2 linked regions of the Macaca mulatta genome follow. The protein of the gene in region 1 purifies or fractionates together with the protein of each later gene. This does not show direct contact. Links are inferred from orthologs where the notes say so. Each region holds a gene or a part of one and is shown in the gene's direction. Other genes may lie near its edges. The genes, in order: RTEL1 and MMS19.

Region 1 (3,809 bases):
TGTTTTCTTCCTTTCTTTTTTTTTTTGAGATGGAGTTCCACTCTTGTTGCCCAGGCTGGAGCGCAATGGTGCGATCTTGGCTCACCGCAACTTCCTCCTCCCAGGTTCAAGTGATTTTCCTGCTTCAGCCTCCCAAGTACCTGGGACTACAGGCGCGCGCCACCACGCCCAGCTAATTTTGTATTTTTAGCAGAGTCAGGGTTTCTCCATGTTGGCCAGGCTGGTCTCAAACTCCAGGTGATCCGCCCACCTCGGCCTCCTGAAGTGCTGGGATCCAGGCGTGAGCCGCCGCGCCCGGCCTGTGTCGTGTTTTCTGCGTGGCCGCTGTAAACAACTGACTAGGAGTCTGTGAGCATCTTCATTGGTTCCGCTGTGACTTGCGTGTGAGCATCTCCAGCATCAGCTTTCCTCATTTTCCTTTAAAATCGCACATGTGGATGGACACCATGGGGACCCTGGACCCTGGGCAGCCTCGTCCTCACCTTTCTCACCAGGGTGGCTGCTTGGGAGAGAGTGAGTTTGCGAACTTGGCATTTGTTCTGGCTGTAGGATCCGTTTATATATATACATATATTTAAGTGACAGGGTCTGACTCTGTTGCCCAGGCTGGAATGCGGTGGCGTGATCTTAGCTCCCTGTAGCCTCAGCCTCCTGGGCTCGTGGGGTCTTCCCGTCTCAGCCTCTTAAAGCACCGGGACCGCAGGCGGTCGCCACTGCCATCGGATCTCAAGGCTGCCACGCAGGGCGCTGCAGTAGGGGAAGGGGTTCCTGGGACTTTGAACGCTCCACCTCCCTCTTCTCCACAGTCCCCCAACCCCACCTCTAACTGGGAGTGGATGGCCACCTCTTTCCATCCTTTGCCTGGCGCAGGGTGGGGAGAATGACAGGTCTCCTTCCGCATCTCGGCAGCTGCCCTTTCGTCGGTTATATGACGTGGGAGAGACCCCGGCCACCCCCAGGGCTGTGTGACGTGGGAGAGACCCCGGCCACCCCCAGGGCTGTGAACACCGCCACAGGGGCCTTCTCCACTCTTCAGTTTTGTTAGTTACGTGACGTGCAGGGCTTTTCGTTGTAACTAGTGGGGGACGTGTGGTGAGGGGGGCTTCTGCCGTCTCATTCAGGACTGGAACTTCAGTTTTCATCGCTATTTGTCCTCCTACGCCTTTGGAGATGGGGTCTCGCTCTGTTACCCAGGCTGGAGAGCAGTGGTGCCATCAGGGCTCACGGCAGCCTCCTCCTCCTGCAGCCTCCGCCTCTTGGGCTCACGCGATCCTCCTGCCTCGGCCTCCCAAACTCCTGGGACGACTACAGACGTGCGCCACCGTGCTTGGCAGGGTTCATTCTTTTCCTCACACTTTATTTATTGGAGAGCCCGGTAGAGCGCCCGGTTTGCACGATCTGGTTGTTGAGACATTGAGAGGAACCCTGCGGAGTCTGAATCTGGGTATGGGAGGGGCAGTCACACGAGTTCCCCGGTGTTCTCGTCTCCTCCGCACTTAGGTGCCCTTAGGTGGCTTGAGGACCCCAGTTAGACTGGGGCCACCCTTTGCCTGGCTCCAGGCGGGATGTCCTTTCTTTTTTTTTTTTTTTTTTTTTGAGACGGAGTCTCGCTCTGCCGCCCAGGCTGGAGTGCAGTGGCCGGATCTCAGCTCACTGCAGGCTCCGCCTCCCGGGTTCACGCAATTCTCCTGCCTCAGCCTCCCCAGTAGCTGGGACTACAGGCGCCCGCCACCTCGCCCGGCTAGTTTTTTGTATTTTTTAGTAGAGACGGGGTTTCACCGTGTCAGCCAGGATGGTCTCGATCTCCTGACCTCGTGATCCGCCCGCCTCGGCCTCCCAAAGTGCTGGGATTACAGGCTTGAGCCACCGCGCCCGGCCGGGATGTCCTTTCTATCAGGAGGCTCACAGTATCTGCTTTCCAGTTTCTTCTGACGTTAACGTTGTTGCTGCTGAACACCTGACTCTGTTGATTATTGGGGGATTGCAAGATGGTAGTGTGCCAATTCTGTCACTTAGTCAGTTAGCAGGAATAATCTAGCACCATGCTCTGCATCGCATCAGCCGTGTGGTGATCCCATTCACACAGGAAAGGCGGGATAAATGCTGGCTGTGGGCCGGGTGTGCTGTCCCGCATCTGTAATCCCAGCACTTTGGGAGGCCAGGGCGGTCGGATCACGAGGTCAGAGATTGAGACCATCCTGGCCAACATGGTGAAACCCCGTCTCTACTAAAAATACAAAAAAAAACCCAAAACATGAGTGGGCCGTGGTGGCGCGTGCTTGTAATCCCAGCTACCGGGGAGACTGAGGCAGGAGAATCACTTGAACCCGGGGGGCGGAGGTTGCAGAGAGCTGAGATCGCGCCACTGCACTCCAGCCTCACAACAAAGCGAGACTCTGTCTCAGTAATCAATCAGTCAATCAATCAGACGTCATCAGTGAATGTACGTGAGCGTGTAGGGATTGGTCCTGCTCCGCGCGCCACCCTCAATCTCACTCCTGACCTCCGTTCTCCACCTCGAGGTGTTTTCATGTGGGCCCGTGTGTCCTGACCCCAGCAGTTGTGGCCTCTTTGCTGTCTGGGAGTCAGGATTTTTCACACTCATGTCCTGCTCCAGACCTGGAATCAGCCAAGTCTCCAAGAAGCTCTGGTTTCTTTTCCTGCAAGGTGGTATTTCAGGACCCACGATGCGGCAACAGGCTAGTCATGGTTACTGGGTTGGTCATTGTTACTGGGTGTTTTTGTGGAGATACATCCATACGCACAGATGTGTTCACAAATGTTAACTCTGAAGGTAAACCACCCAGCTGGGCACAAGGGCTCACCGGTAATCCCAGCACTTTGGGAGACCGAGACAGTTGGATGACCTGAGGTCGGGAGTTTAAGACCAGCCTGGGCAACATGGTGAAACCCCATCTCTACTAAAAACGCAAAAATTAGCCAGGTGTGGTGGCACACGCCGGTAGTCCCAGCTAGTTGGGAGACAGACATGCTGGAACCTGGGACACGGAGGTTGCAGAGAACAGAGATAGTGCCGCTGCACCCCAGCCTGGGTGATAGGGTGACACCCTGTCTCCAAAATAAATAGATAAATAAAGGGAAAACGCCTCCTCTTGGTGTCTCCAGTTTGGACTGGCTGGCATGGGTTCCGGTAGCCTCTTCCCCCATGGTGGCGTCCTTTTTTCCATGCCGGGAATCCTGGTTCTCAAGGGCGGGGTTGTTGGTCTGAGTGTGACACAGACTGTGCCTTTGCTGCCTTTCTCTTGCCCAGGGCTGAACATGGAGCTGGAAGACATTGCAAAGCTGAAGAGTAAGTGCTGCCCTCCCCACCTTCTTGCGGCTGGGTGGGGCCTCCCCCTGATGCCTCCTCAACCCGACCTGCAGTGATCCTGCTCCGCCTGGAGGGGGCCATCGATGCCGTTGAGCTGCCTGGAGACGACCGCGGTGTCACCAAGCCAGGGAGGTGAGAGGCGGGGAGCCAGCTGCTTCACTGGAGGCCCAGCCTAGAGCTAGAGATAGGCCATGGTGCAGTCCTGGGCTGTCCCACCAGTGAGGCCTGTTTTCAGGCCCGTTTTCCCTTTTGGAGACCTGGTAGGAGCGCCCGGTTTGCATGATCTGGTTGTTGAGACGTTGAGAGGAAGAGCACACGCATCCACGGAACAGCACACGCATCCACGGAACAGCACACGCATCCACGGAACAGCACACACTCCCACGGAACAGCACACGCATCCACGGAACAGCACCCACTCCCACGGAACAGCACACCCACGGAACAGCACATGCTTCCACGGAACAGCACATGCTTC
Region 2 (3,809 bases), on another chromosome or scaffold:
GGGACATAATTCTAGTTGAATGACGAGAGAGAGTCCCTATGTGACAGTCAGCTGCTTGGTAAGAGCAGTTGATCACCTTTGCACATTACCCACTTCTTGTCCTTCTGTGGCAAGGAGTGCAGGTTATGGTGCCTCTGACACCGTGGTGAATAGAAAGGTGAGCAGAGCCACTGCTCAGAGTTGGTTTTCTGTTTCTCAGAAAGTGTGTGTCTCTGTCCTGAGTGTGACTAAGGACTTGGTAAGAACACACCAGTTGAGAAGACACTCAGTTGACGTGTTAATTTCCATTTCTGTGTCCTAGAGGTTCTCACTCTCCTCTCCAACAAGGAAATAGGCAGTGGATTGGTGGGGTCTCATCTGGTGCAGGCTCACCTCAGTAGCCATGGGATCCCTCCCTGACAGGTGTTCCAGACGGCAAGTGAGCGGGTGGAGGCAGAGGGCCTGGCGGCCCTCCACTCCCTGACTGCGTGTTTGTCTCGTTCTGTGCTGAGGGCTGATGCTGAGGACCTCCTTGACTCCTTCCTTAGCAACATTCTACAGGGTAATGGGGCTGTGGCAGCCAGGAAGGGGAGTGAGCACAATAGAAATGACATTCCTTGCCCGGGTGTGGTGGCTCACACCTGTAATCCCTGTACTTTAGGAGGCCGAGGTGGGTGGTCAGGAGTTCAAGACCAGCCTAGCCAACATGGTGAAACCTCGTCTCTACTAAAAATACAAAAATTAGCCGGGCGTGGTAGTGGGCACCTGTAATCCCAGCTACTCAGGAGGCTGAGGCAGGAGAATCGCTTGAAACTGGAAGGCAGAGGTTGCAGTGAGCTGAGATCGTATCACTGCACTCCAGCCTGGGCAACAAGAGCAAAACTCTGTCTCAAATTTTAAAAAAAATAAATAAATAAATGACATTCCTTAAGGGCCAGTGACCTTTCTTGTTTAGCCCCAATATATTTGGTGATCTGGGGGCAATAGCCCTACTCTGAATTGAAAACAATTTGAGTGTTAACTGCTTGCAAACTGTCATGGGTCTCAGTCTCCAACCTCTGTGGACTGTAGGGGAGTCAGGCACCGTTTGGCCTCCTCCCCAGGTCTGTGATGTGCTGCTTCTCTAGACTGCAGGCACCACCTGTGTGAACCAGACATGAAACTGGTGTGGCCTAGTGCCAAGCTGTTGCAGGCAGCTGCAGGTGCATCTGCCCGGGCCTGTGACTATATCACCAGCAATGTCCTGCCTTTACTGCTGGAACAGTTCCACAAGCACAGTCAGGTAAGGGAGCAGAATCTTTGGGGGAATGATGGGACCTGTGTGCTAGGTTCCCTTTCTCAGAGTGCTAAGTTTTAGCTGGGGCCGACATAGTAGATCTTGGGTTTTGCTCCCATTAGCTGCTGCTGCTGCTTCCCTTACTTACTTTTTCCCTGTCTCTTACATAAAAGGATCATTCTCCCAAAAAGGGAGGATTGCTTGAAGCCAGGAGTTCAAGATCAGCCTGGGCAACAAAGCGAGATGCCATCTCTAAAAAACAAAATTTATTTTTAATTAGCCAAGCAGGACATGCTGGTTCATGCCTGTAATCCCAGCACTTTGGGAGGCCAAGGCGGGAGAATCACTTGAGGCTAGGATTTAAAGACCAGCTTGGGCAACATAGCAAGACCACATCTCTACAAAAAAAAAAAAAATTTAAATTAGCTGGATAAGGTGGCACGCATCTGTAGTCGCAGCTACTCAGGAGGCTGAGGCGAGAGAATCACTTGAACCTAGGAGGTCGGGGCTGCAGTGAGCTATAATCATGCTACTGTATTCCAGCCTGACTGTGGCATAGCAAAACCCCCATCTCTTGGAAGAAAGAAAGGTTTCTCCCTACATCCAGAGTAGCAGGATTGAAATACCTTAAAATATTCTTTGACTCCAGTACCCCTTGAAACATTACAGAGCAGCCAGCGGCGGACAATCCTTGAAATGCTCCTGGGTTTCTTGAAGCTGCAGCAGAAATGGAGCTATGAAGACAAAGGTGAGGTTGCCTTCCATTGCAGTGCTCTGGGGACTGTTGAACACTGCAGACTATAAAGGACAGCAGGGCAAAGAGTGCTGTGGAAAAGTAGTCTAGAACAATGGTCCTATTCTGAGGTTGTAGCACAAGAGAACACTAACAGATGAGATGGATGAGATCTGTTTATTTTTCTCAGTGTGCTTCCTGGATACCCAGTGGATTAAGCTCTTTAAATCTGCCCCAGGAGGCGGGGCATGGTGGCTCACACCTATAATCCCAGCACTTTGGTAGGCTAAGGCAGGTGGAAAACTTGAGGTCAGAAGTTCAAGACCAGCCTGGCCAATATGGTGAAAAACCCTGTCTCTACTAAAAATACAAAAATTAGCCAGGTATGTTGGCACATGCCTGTAGTCCCAGCTACTCAGGAGGCTGAGGCAGGAGAATAGCTTGAACCTGGGAGGCAGAGGCTGCAGTGAGCCCAGATTGTGCCACTGCACTCCAGCCTGGGCAACAGAGACCTTGTCTCAAAAAAAAAAAATCTACCCCAGGTTGTCTGTATATCACAGCTTAGTCAGGGATATGGAATGTAATGGCTTCCTTCTAACCTGGCCTCTGTCTCTCCCTAGATCAAAGGCCTCTGAATGGCTTCAAGGACCAGCTGTGCTCACTGGTATTCATGGCCCTAACAGACCCCAGCACCCAGCTTCAGCTTGTTGGCATCCGTACACTCACAGTCTTGGGTGCCCAGCCAGGTACATCTTAAGGGAAAGAGAGAAGAGAAGGATATTGGTCCTTTTCTTGTAAGGCTGCCTTAGTGAAAAGCAGCCTTACTATCCTGTTCTCACTGCAACTCTGGATGATTTGGGATTTCTAATAAGAGCTTGGAAGGGTTGTGATGGCTGCAGGGGACGAAAGATGGGATTCATGTTCCCTTCTAACTACAGATCTCCTATCTTCTGAGGACTTGGAGCTGGCAGTGGGTCACCTGTACAGACTGAGCTTCCTGGAGGAGGATTCCCAGAGTTGGTGAGAATTTAAAGCAGTGAGATATAGAGCACGCTGTTCCCTGCCTCTGTATTGGCAGCAACAGATCAAGCTAGGACCAGGGCTCTGTGCTTCTGACCCTTGGCTCTCCTTAGGGGAGGTGAGCTCTGTGTTAGGCTCTGGCTGCTAACCGGTTGGAGAGATGTAGGACTGCTTTCTTCTTAGGCTTTAAGAAACCCTGTCAAACTCAGTGGTGTAGGTACTTGACTTCTACTCTTTGGCAAGGAGGTGTTGGGAGCTCACACTCCTGAATCTGCCTAATATCAGACCTAGGCAAGAGAGCTGTGAGCCAAGGCTCAGCCATTGCTCATCTGCTCTGCGCCTCCAGCAGGGTGGCAGCACTGGAAGCATCAGGAGCCCTGGCTGCTCTCTACCCTGTGGCCTTCAGCAGCCACCTCATACCCAAGCTCGCTGAGGAGCTGCGTGTAGGTATGTGTCTCTAATCCTCTGTGGCGCATCCCTTCCCAGCAAGGCTTTGGGGCCTTCGTGCTTGCTATCACACAGTGAACCTTCATCTTATGGGTTGCTTTCAGGGGAGTCAAATTTGACTAAAGGAGATGAGCACATCCAATGCTCCCAGCATCTGTGCTGTCTGCAAGCCTTGTCAGCTGTATCAACACATCCCAGCATCGTCAAGGAGACACTGCCTCTGCTGCTGCAGCATCTCTGGCAGGTGAACAGAGGTAACTACTAGGAATAATAACCAAGGGACTGGGCTGAATGGGGAGCTGTAGTCAAGTTTGGAGTTGATGCCTCTAAGGCAGTGGTTCTAGCTGTAGCTAT

Evidence for each region.
Region 2: the proteins of RTEL1 (region 1) and MMS19 purify together in Homo sapiens (affinity purification with western blotting; 4 studies listed by BioGRID and IntAct, with this or other methods). This does not show direct contact. The link is inferred for Macaca mulatta from reciprocal best matches to the Homo sapiens genes RTEL1 and MMS19.

The regions. Positions count from the first base shown.
Region 1 is NC_133415.1:116,535,015-116,538,823, forward strand, and holds part of RTEL1 (regulator of telomere elongation helicase 1), read left to right. Parts: intron 1-3,271; coding exon 3,272-3,310; intron 3,311-3,384; coding exon 3,385-3,463; intron 3,464-3,809. UniProt on the Homo sapiens protein: A probable ATP-dependent DNA helicase implicated in telomere-length regulation, DNA repair and the maintenance of genomic stability. Acts as an anti-recombinase to counteract toxic recombination and limit crossover during meiosis.
Region 2 is NC_133414.1:109,517,808-109,521,616, reverse strand, and holds part of MMS19 (MMS19 nucleotide excision repair protein homolog), read left to right. Parts: intron 1-402; coding exon 403-541; intron 542-1,106; coding exon 1,107-1,261; intron 1,262-1,924; coding exon 1,925-2,003; intron 2,004-2,608; coding exon 2,609-2,734; intron 2,735-2,926; coding exon 2,927-3,008; intron 3,009-3,354; coding exon 3,355-3,455; intron 3,456-3,559; coding exon 3,560-3,709; intron 3,710-3,809. UniProt on the Homo sapiens protein: Key component of the cytosolic iron-sulfur protein assembly (CIA) complex, a multiprotein complex that mediates the incorporation of iron-sulfur cluster into apoproteins specifically involved in DNA metabolism and genomic integrity.